2 linked regions of the Drosophila melanogaster genome follow. The protein of the gene in region 2 interacts with the protein of the main gene of each other region in a pairwise test. Each region holds a gene or a part of one and is shown on either strand. Other genes may lie near its edges.

Region 1 (5,102 bases), on a different chromosome or scaffold from region 2:
CTTCAAAGATTATTACTGGTCTGCTGGTGCAGGCTTTGATCATAGGCGTTATCTGGCAGTTCTTCAGCGGAAAGTCGAAGAAGAACTTCATCGCCAGTCGTCTGACTGGTGGAAATGCCAATGCAGCAGAGCAGAATGCCCAACAGAAATGGTACATACTGGCTGGAGCTCTGCTCGGAGGTTATCTTCTTCTGCATCTGCTGAGCGCAGTGCTTTTGACGATTTTCACCGTGTTGCTACCTATTTCGCTGACCTTCATCCACGCCTCCTTGCGACTGCGAAACATCAAGAACAAGCTGACCAACAGCATCGAGAGCTTTGCTCCCTCCACGCCCATGGGCTCCTTGCTGGATGCCTTAAATGTCCGGGCCGAAGGCGTCTTTAATTAGACTGACCAGTTTGACACAGTTGGAATGATCGTTTTTATCGCTAGTTATCCTTGTCAATGTTGATCCTTGCAAAGCAAATCCCGGTATTGTAATCGATTTTGATTTTTACTTTTGTATTAAACTATGATTTTATGCAGCCATCATGTAACGCAAATATTACAAATGTCAATAAAGTTTTCCCAGGAATTTCGCTGTGTTGCTCCTCTAAAGATAATGTTATCTTATAAGGGCCAATCCTCTCACCCAAATCAAAAGTTGAAACCTTTGATAGTTAGTAGCGTAAACAAGATATAGACTTTATGATAGCCGCCCATGCAGTTACTCGCGTTTATTCTATCACATAAAATAGTATTGGCTTTTGATTTCAATTTAAGGTTTCCTCGATGTTATTACTCCTATTTTTAGTTGGTAGGCATTTTAGTTGTTCAGGGGGTGGAGAGCTGGAGCGTTGGACGCTGCAATTTCGGCGGCAGTGAGAGAATCATCGTTTTTCCCACCCGTCTGCGATAAATGCTTGACGAGGTCCACCCAATCCCAGCCACGTTCCCGGTCTCCTTTGTGATCGGTTCTCTCCCACTGCCGGCGCTTTTGCGCCTTAGTCAGGTGCTCCTTCTTGGGCTCCTTTTTCTTGGACTCCGCATCGGCATTGGGATCGGAGATCTTTAGAGCACCCACGCCATCATCCACTAACGCCACCGTGGGTGCAGATTCGGGTTGCTCTGCGGTCAATTGCTCCAGGTTGTCCTTAAGGCATTCGAACAGGGTATAGGTCATGCCACAGCCCAGCCATTGGTCCGCTTCCGTACTCAGAGCCGTTTGGATCCCTTCCTTGACAGCTGGCAGTCTGTTAAATAGGAAAGCGTAGTCTTTAGAGCTAAACCTGCTCCAATTTCCCAAGGAATAACGATCCACTTACAGATTCCTATTGTAAAACGCGTTCATGTTGATCGCTGGCGCCTCATCGGGGTAATTTTCGCCCCACTTGAGCTCGACCAAGAACGACTTGTAGTTATCCTCTTCGCCATACTAAAATTTCATTTATTATATTACAAATTATCATATTTGTGTGCTTTTTTTTATCCATGTGGCTTACTTTGTACTGAAATGTGACGCTATCTATTTCCTTGAAGTTCGTGTCGCCCTCGTATATTGACTGCAACGCCTCCCGTTCTTCCGTCTGCTGTTCCAGTGGCGTGCTCATAGTAAATTGTGTGGATTATCTTTACTGTTCAAGATTTTATCATTTTTTGTTAAACAAGACAAAAATCAAAATTTGTAACAAAAACAAAAGCAACAGTAACAATCAGCTGGCCACCGGTGGATGTGTGGCCGTTCTATCTCAAATCAGTTATAGCTTGTCTCCACTGGGTCCGCATGCGAAGCCTTAAAAAGGCTAAATAGGTGTTTTTGTTATTTATTGTAAAGGCTTGATTAAAATTATGTTTATAAATATATTCTATTATTTCATTTAAAATACTTCTGAAGTTTTTTTTATGTTTCCAAATGCAGTTAAAGGTTTTCAATCAAAATTAAAAAATAAATAAAAAGAGAAATGAAGCGTAATAGATGAAACCGAAGATGAAGGGTAAACAATCTTCGTAGGTGGGAATATCACGCATCTATTTCGATAGGCATAGCAAAGTTATCGAGCCAGTACAGTTCAGTTCGCAGCAGAATAACATAGAAGAACGCAAACAATAACAACATAAAAAAAAATCATAAAATGCACAGTGCGCGCGTGAATCATCGTTGAGCAACAATTAGCATTGATAAGCTCATGATCGCGCGGCGTCACTAGGAGCGGAAACAGGAACTGAGGCACACGCGACCCACGACAAGTATGTCGTCAGATGCGATTCCCGCATCGGAATGTGCGCACCTGATGGAATTCAAGCGATTTCTGGTCAGCACGGCGGAGAAGGCAGCAGCCGTAAGCGAGGAGGTGGTCAGCCGGAGTTGTGTAACTCGTACGGCCAATGAGACATACAAAGTGTCCGGCGAGGAGCGTCATGCCGAATTGGTCTCAGCTATTTGGAAACAACTGGAGACTCGAGGATGTCCGGCGCAGTTCCGGATTAAGCTACTCCATCGAAGCACACAGCAGCTGGAGCAGGATCTGTGCTTTGCCAAGGAGTGTGAAGTCACCGTGGAGGGTCCGCCGCAGTACGATCTTCTCAAGCTGCAGAAGTTCGTGGCCAGTGAGTTTGAGAAGTACATCCTAAAACTCACCGACAACTCGGAGGTGGATCGCCTCAAGGACTTCGCTGATGAGGCGGCGCCGGAAAACTGCGAGTGCCACCAGCAGAAAGAACCCCTGCACACATCTGCCGCTGTAAAGAACAAACCCCGCAAAATGGAGGATCGCTGTGTTTGCCTGGATCGATTTGGTGAAATGTACGAGCTGCTGGACAAGACCACCCGTTTTTTTGGCGTCTTTGATGGTCACTCTGGCTCTTTATCCGCCACCTATGCAACCAGCCAACTCCCACAACTGCTAGCCGATCAGCTTAAAGCAAATCCAGATCCTGCTGCATTCTCCCCAGACTTTTATCGCAATGCCTTCGAGTCGGCATTTTTGCTGGCCGACGAGCGTTTCACCCAGAAGAAGATCACCAGCGGCACAACCAGCGTGTGTGCCTTGATCACAAAGGATCAGCTTTATATCGCTTGGGTGGGCGATTCCAAGGCCCTTCTCGTGGGCAAGCGGACTCAACTGCAGCTGGTGAAACCGCACAAGCCAGAGAATCCGGATGAGCGCAAGAGAATAGAAACAGCTGGTGGAACAGTGCTCCACGCCCAGGGGCAGTGGCGTGTAAATGGCATTCTTAACGTGGCCCGCTCCATTGGCGACTACAGCCTTGAGGCAGTGATCGCAGAGCCGGACTTCGTGGATGTGCAGTTAAATGAGGCTCACGACTTTCTCGTACTAGGCACCGATGGCCTGTGGGATCATGTGCCCGAGTCGCTCATAATCGAAACCGTTTACGATTCCCTAGCGGATACCACAATGAAGTTGGACGACATTCCCAAACTGCTGATAGAGGCTGCCAAGGAGCGGGATTCCCAGGATAACATAACAGCGGTGGTGGTTTTGCTCAAACCGCGACATCAGATCGAACATCTTTAAAAGTTTAGGTCCGAGCAGCAAATTTTTTATATTGTTACCCGCCTTGGGATGGGTTAATTTTGTACAAATTCAAAGCAACTTAAAAGTCGTAGAAGCGAAAAGTAATCTTGAATCAACGCCCTTTGTGTGGTGGGATAACACGAAAAGTCATATCAAATTTTACGTATTCGAAAGAGAAAAATGTGCCAAATATTTTTAAACAATTCAAGAACGCAATATACACTTGATATTGGCATGCATATTGTGGGAATATAAGTAATATAATCCATTTTCTAAAAGATTATTGAACGTACGCAATCGTTTAATGTGATACAACGAAAATAAGGTATTACAAGATGATAGAACCCAAGTCCTTGCCTAATTAAAAACTAATAATATGCCCAAAGATTACTTTCCGAACCTACATTTGCAAATTAATCAACGAGAATTAACCCAAACCGGCCCATTGTTGTTTCGTTTACTTTACGTTATTGTTGTAATGTAAATAGCTTGGAGCTGTTCGGAGTGCTCCTACCTTTATTGTCACATTCTCACGTGCCTACGTGGTCCTGAATATGGATGACCCCATCCCGGTCCACTTGTTTGGTTGCTCGAATAAGCTCAATCAAAATATTTTGTGGTTGCTCAGCAGTTGAACGAAATTTTAACAAGTTAAGGCAACTGTTGTTAGCCCAATAGTATATAGAAAAAGTGCACAATTACGCACATAAATATGTTTACATATATTTTAGATTAGCCAGCAAGCATATTTATACACATTGAAGTTGTTTTCGGCCGCTTAGTGCTTCCTGCTGTACGATAATAAGCCAAGCCATGTAGCCAGGTACACATATATCGTAGTTAAACGCGTATATATTTACACCCGTAACCGTATTTAATGATCCCACACAGATTAAGTACCTTTTTATACAAATCCAACGAACCTTTCATGCATTTTATCGAACAACCCAGGACACATTTTTAACAACACACACGCAAATTGATAAAGATTTTTTATTGGAATAATAAAAGTAATTCACTGAATTGTCATACCTATCTCTAGCTGGGTGGCGGCTGACCCTGATGTGACTGGTTGTTCGGCGGAGGAGGAGCAAAGGGTGGTGGTGGCGGGTACATGTGTGGGTACATGGGCGGCATGGCGTAGGGCATTCCGTAGCCATAGTTAGGCACTGGGAAGGGCATGCCAGGATGCTGCTGAGCCATGTTAAAGTTAGCCGCTGCCTGGTGATAGTTCTGGTAGTAGTTGGAGTGCCAGCTGCCCGGATTGTAGCTTGGATGGAAGTTGTATTGTTCGTCCTGTGGCTGATTCTGGTTGTGCTGGTTAATGGAGGGTCGCTGGCTCTGGCGGAAACTCTCTCGTTGCCCACGACGTCCGCGTTGACGAGGAGGAGGAGCAACTGAAGAAGCCTTAGTGGCTGTCGTGGCCACCGAGGTTACCGTGTCCACGGAATCTGTGGAGTTTGTGCGATCCCTTTGGCGGCGCTTTCGCTGCTCTGCCCTGGCTTCTCTTTCTTCTTCATCATCCGAGTGATCTACGTAGCGGGCTGGTGGTTCTACATCGTGCTCCCACGAAGCATCCGATCCTC
Region 2 (5,984 bases):
CGCTGTGCGGCAGCATCGCCCCGATGGACGAGTGCGTGCGGATCTTCCAGAAGGCGACCGGTGAGTGCGAGATCCCCGCTAGAATTCGCATTAATTACTCCGTTTTGCAGACTGCTCCGTGGTCTATGCCATCGAGGCGGCCACCTTGCATCCAGCACAGTGCCTGAAGATCGAAAAGCAGAAGGGCACCCTGGACTTTGGCTCGGACGCGGACTTCGTTCTCCTGGACGACCAGCTCCGGGTGCTATCCACCTGGATCGCTGGCGTATGTGTTCATAGGACTGTCAAGTAGCGCATCGAATGTGCAACTGTTGCAATTGTTTTTATTTACCTGATGCAGGATGCAGGATTCTACACCGAAGATTCTCCAAATAAATTGTTAAACTTATACATTCCAATTGAAGGAGCTTGAGATTCTTGTGAGTGCAGCCAAGGATGTTCAAATGAATTGTTTAACGATGATTGTTTGCCATTTGAAATAAGGAATCACTCACTGGTTTATATGACATGGTTTAGGTTGTTCTTTATATTTTAATCGGTAAATCATTTGGTGTGGACAACTAAACTAAATCCATATACAGTTACAAATAATAGGTTTACACGACAAAAAAAAAAGAGTAGAATAAAATTACAAGGAGACGGGAGGCGAGCGCTAGGTGGTGCGTTCGGTTTGGGGCGCTCCTCCCTTGCGGATGCGAATGCAAATGCGAATGCTACATTGATGGCGTGCACCGTCCTTACATACAAGCATGGAGATATATACGCGCGCACACCCAAGCCCCCTTAAGTGTACACAGATACATACATATATATTATATATAAATTGGGTGTGCGGGCGCGAATGCACATAAAAACGATGCGATATACGGTGTGTAATTTCATATATGTATATATATATATAAATATATATTTATATCTAAATATCTATATATATATATATATATATATATATATATATATATATATATATATATATATATATATGCACAGGCAATAATCAAAAACGATTTCGGAACACCTCGATCTCGAAACTCCCTATGGAACTGCAACTCTGGCCGAGGATCTGGCTTGAAAGCTTGAGTGGCCAGGACGCAGAGCAGGGCGTACATCACCACCCGCCCCATCGAACTCCTCGCTGGCTTGGCTTGGCGTCGACATAGAAAGCGAAAGCAAGCTAAGTAGGTATAGGCTATATACTACTATCCGATGTATAATATGTATAGGTGTTATTTATATCTAGGCTGAAACGCAAAACAAAAACGAAACACTAAGTGGGGCGGCTGGGGAGTGCGAGTGGTGGCGAACGAGCGAGCGAGCGAGCGATCGAATGACTGAGTACAGGAATCGTAAGACTATATGTGTATCAAAAGTACGTTACAAAAGTTGCTTATGTCTGCGTCAGCGACATCAGCGCTATCATTATCGTTTCTTGTGGCTGGACAGTGGCTGGAGCTGATCCTCGTTATCCGATCCACGTTAGTCAACCGATCGAGTGCGGCATGGATATGCAGATCCTTGCGTCCACGTTGTGTGGGCGTTAACTAACGTGGCCCATGCCCGACCACCATCCATCGTTCGGAGTTTTGTAAAGTTGCTTCCAAATGTTCGTATTACAATATCTGTTGCTTGTTGTTAAACTTTAGGTAGGTTGTTTCTGTTGCTTGTTCCATTTTGCGTATCCTCGTAATAAGTAAGTTTCCTACGTGCGAATGACCCCGGCTCTATTGCTTTGTTTTTTGCTTCGTCCGTGCGGAGCGGTTTCAGAAACCGGTCCCCACTGCTTTCGGTTCGATTCGATTCGTTTCGTTCCATTCCAATTCAATCTAGTCCAGTTTAATCCAATCCAATCCGTACTTCGCCGCCTTCCCCACGCACAGCTGAGCACAAACCGGGCCAAACCACGCCCCGTTCGCCTAGAACGCCGCTTTTTACGCGCAGCACTTGCTGTAGCCCGGCGCCTTCTCCTGGTTCCGGCGATCGATAATCACGCGCTCCTGATTCTCCGCCGACTCGCGTCCTGATGTCTTGTCCAGAATGGCCTCGGCCAGCTCGCAGAAGGCCCGCTCGATGTTTATGTTCGACTTGGCGGATGTTTCCATAAACCGAATGCCATGTTCACGGGCAATCTAAAAAACGTGGGCAGAGATGGGGAAGGGGAGCAAGTTATTGGCTTTGTAAACAAATTGATCAAACAGACGTGGGGCGTGTGCGATCATTGAGTAACAATCATAATAAATAACCAGAATAGTTCTAACATAAATTGTATGCCTCCGGAAATTTTCCCTTGCATTCATTACCACGGACATACTATAGCACCTAAATAGTTTCGTCTTGATTGTCAGAGAACGAATATATTCGCTGTGTTCAATTTGCAAACTTATCTTAAAAAATCAAAACAATAGGAAACTATTAAGGGGCATGGAATTCGCTTGTAAAAAACAGTTGGCTTTGAAAGCTAAACACACTAATATATGATCGATTTCCGAACTCAACTCCTATGGCAGAAGAGCTTAACGATCTAACTACGACTATATTTCCTAATCTCTGACAGTGATTGCTGTTGTGGGGGCACTCTGTGGATGAGGGATGCTCACCGCTTCGCCGCGCTCCTTGTTGACCACCCTCTTGTCCGTCATATCGCACTTGTTGCCGAGGATCATCTTCTCCACATCCTCGTTGGCGTGCTAAAACAAAAAAAAAAGAAGAAGATTTCAGACTTTAGAAAAGGCCATTACTCGCAGGGGAAACACCTACCTCGTCTATATTCCGTAACCATTTGACTATGTTCTCGAAACTCTTCTCGTTCGTTATGTCATAGACCAGCATTATGCCCATGGCGCCTCGATAGTACGAGGTGGTTATCGTGTGGAACCGCTCCTGGCCGGCGGTGTCCCATATTTGCAGCTTGATCTTCTTGCCGCGCAGCTCGACTGTTTTGATTTTGAAATCGATGCCTGAGAAAAACGGTTGAACGAGAAAGCAAATGTAGTGCGGAAAAACCAACGCAATTTGAGCCGAATGACGTCACGGCGGTGTTATCGATTACATTGGAATTGAATAAAATAAAGCAGTTCGACATTGATATCACGATGATTCATTACATTAGACGTATATGAAGCATTCATTCCAACCAAATGATCACACGTCTGTGTTACGTGTTGCGAACATGCAGTAGTTTAGTACGAAAAGTTCAAGTTCAGGGAGTTACATAGCCACATAGATGGCATATTTTGCTCACTTCTCCTCCGCTTTCCACTCCGCAGGCGATCGAAACAAGCAGTGCATAGGCCAGTCGATAAGGCAGTGCCACGCCCAGTCACACACCCACACACACGTATATATATCCTGGCTGTGCAGCTGACATGTGCGCGTGTGTGTGTGTGTGCGGTGCGGGTGGACAGATGCAAGTATGTGCGTACGGTCCCGTTACTCACCTATGGTCGATATGAACGTGGACGTGAATGCATCATCCGAGAACCGGAACAATATGCACGTCTTGCCCACTCCTGAATCACCGATCAGCAACAGTTTAAAGAGCAAATCGTAGGTTTTCTTTGCCATTTCCAAAACGCAACGGAACGCTCGCAGAACAAAGCACAAACACACGCGACACTCACACGCACGCAAACACACACACACACAAACGCACGGGCGCAGGTGACAAGAGATATTATTATTATTGAAGCGCCTGCCCTTTTTCGCTCTTTCTCTCGGTTATGGCCGCCTAAGCAATGATCCTGTATCTCGAGCTAGCTCTTTTTTCTCCGCGTGTCTTAAATGCGCCGAATTAATTAATATTTTCGCTTGAAATTGTTGCTATTAGAACTAGAGCTGGAACATGAATCGATATCTGTTCGATACCATCCATGCTCTCACCAGTGTGGCAACTTCGATGGTTTAATACAACTATCGACTGCTATGGAGTCACAGTTTTGAAATCACAGCTTAAAATCTAAAGAAAGATTTGAGTTTACTCTTGATAATACCTTAAATGCTTAAGTATTTTTGCTAGAAAGCTCATAACATGACTTTTAATTATTACGCCATTTGGCAGACCTCTGCTATCGGTACGACAGCCAATCGATAGGTAAGCACGCATTCAATTATCGGTATCGTAAAATAATAACAATTTCGCAAAATCCCAAACCGATTCGCAAAAAGGTGGATTATTCACACAAATCAGAGCGAACAACGTTTGGATTACAGTGATCCCAATCCCAGCCAATCCACCGCAGGCAATGGACATCGACTGGCAAAACGGCCTCACCGAGCTGAAGGATCGGGGCCAGTACCTGCTCCACTCGGAGAAGTGGGCCGACTGCCGCTTTCTGGTGGGTTCTTCGCCCACCCAGCGGCTCATTGCCGGCCACAAGCTGCTACTGGCCATGGCTTCGCCGGTGTTCGAGCGAATGTTCTATGGCAACCTGCCCGATAAGACGGACCCCATCGTCATTCCGGACGTGCAGCCGGAGGCGTTCGAGGCGATGCTGGAGTACATCTACACGGACCGCATCACCATTGGGTCCTTCGACAAGGCCTGCGAGCTGTGCTACGTGGCCAAGAAGTACATGCTGCCCCACGTGGTCACGCGCTGCACCCATTTCCTTTGGGCTGATCTTAGTCCGAAAAACGCGTGCCGGGCGTACGAGTTTGCCAAGCTGTTCGATGAGCCGCGCCTCATGCAAAGCAGCATGGATCTGATCGCGGCCAACACGCGCGAGGTTCTGTCCGATCCCAGCTTCCTGGACATCGAGGTCTCCACCCTGATGGCCATTCTTGACCAGAATCGCCTGAACATCGACTCCGAGCTGGATTTGTTCAACTGCCTGCTGAAGTTTGCCAGTGAGCGGGGCATCCTGAACGAGTCCGGCCAGGAAGAGACTGCTAGCGGAGGTCAGGTGCTGACCAAGGAATCGCCCGACAATGCTGCCGGCCATGTGCTGGTCGAAGAGATCAAGATGGAGCCCGATGTGGCGGCCATGGTGCAGCACATGCACCAGGACGACGAGGCTGACAGCTTCGAAACGGACGCTGGGATGGCTTCCACTTCCTCTGCGGCTGCCGCGGCTGCAGCTGCGCCCACGGCTGCCTCCCCGCCGCTGGACGTGGCTTCCGGCTCCGACGACCTGGTAATCATCGATAGCGACGCTTCGGCCGATGCCGCCGCCAACATGATTAACATCATGGACGCCCAGCGCACCATTCTCGATGGCGCCATGCTCAGGCAGGCGGTCAAAAAGATTCGCTTTCTCACCATGACGCCGCAGCAGTTCGCGGAGGGACCGGCCCGTTCCAAGCTGCTGCAGCAGCACGAGGCCCTCTCCATCCTGATTAAGATCTCCAGTCCCTCGCTCAACGATTGTCACATGCCCGAAGGCTTCTGCGTGTCGCGGAGCACGCGCAACTTCTACGAGTCGGGCCACCGACACGCCCAGAGAGAATTGTCCTCCTCGTATCGCACTGGAGCCGCTCCCTCGGGCGTCTGTTTCCCGGGACCGGGACCGGCAGTTCGCAGCGGAGGACCCTCCGGCGGCGGTATGATGATGGGCATTGCGCCCCGTTTCGGATCCGTGGGCACGGGATTCGGCTTCGCAGGCGAGGAATTGGTCATCCGCCCGCCGGAACCGGTGGGCGTCCCACCGGATGCCGCACCTGCGCCAGCACCACTGCGCTGCTTCGGCGAGGGCTACGAGAGCGGAGCGCCAGTCCCAGCGCCCGCCAATGATGATGATGGCGGCGATCGAGGCGCACCGGCGCCCGCTGGCGGCGCTGCAGCTGGAGGAGCTGGATCCGCAGCTGGAAATTCGCACAACGACATGGTGCGCGCGTACTGTATGCGCTCCCTTACCCGGCAATTTGACTTCCGCAACACCAGCGTCACGGATGCGGGCGTAACGTTCCAGGTGGACACCAACATTTGGATCCTGGGCGTCCAAGTGCCCACGCGCGTGCTGTGCGGCGAGCTGATGACTTCTGCCGGTTTT

Evidence for each region.
Region 1: the proteins of Rab10 (region 2) and CG10376 interact in a two-hybrid assay, tested with the Drosophila melanogaster proteins (one large-scale study listed by BioGRID).

The regions. Positions count from the first base shown.
Region 1 is NT_033779.5:18,700,041-18,705,142, reverse strand, and holds CG10376 (uncharacterized protein), read left to right. Parts: upstream 1-2,037; 5' UTR 2,038-2,229; coding exon 2,230-3,516; 3' UTR 3,517-4,537; downstream 4,538-5,102. Other genes in the region: Jwa, read left to right, coding at 1-389; CG10343 (uncharacterized protein), read right to left, coding at 807-1,233, 1,306-1,415, 1,483-1,590; CG10341 (uncharacterized protein), read right to left, coding at 4,555-5,102.
Region 2 is NC_004354.4:20,249,208-20,255,191, reverse strand, and holds Rab10 (Rab10), read right to left. Parts: upstream 3,855-5,984; 5' UTR 3,562-3,854; coding exon 3,435-3,561; intron 2,955-3,434; coding exon 2,755-2,954; intron 2,685-2,754; coding exon 2,595-2,684; intron 2,127-2,594; coding exon 1,929-2,126; 3' UTR 501-1,928; downstream 1-500. Other genes in the region: CG17065 (uncharacterized protein), read left to right, coding at 1-60, 111-292; CG17068 (uncharacterized protein), read left to right, coding at 4,239-5,984.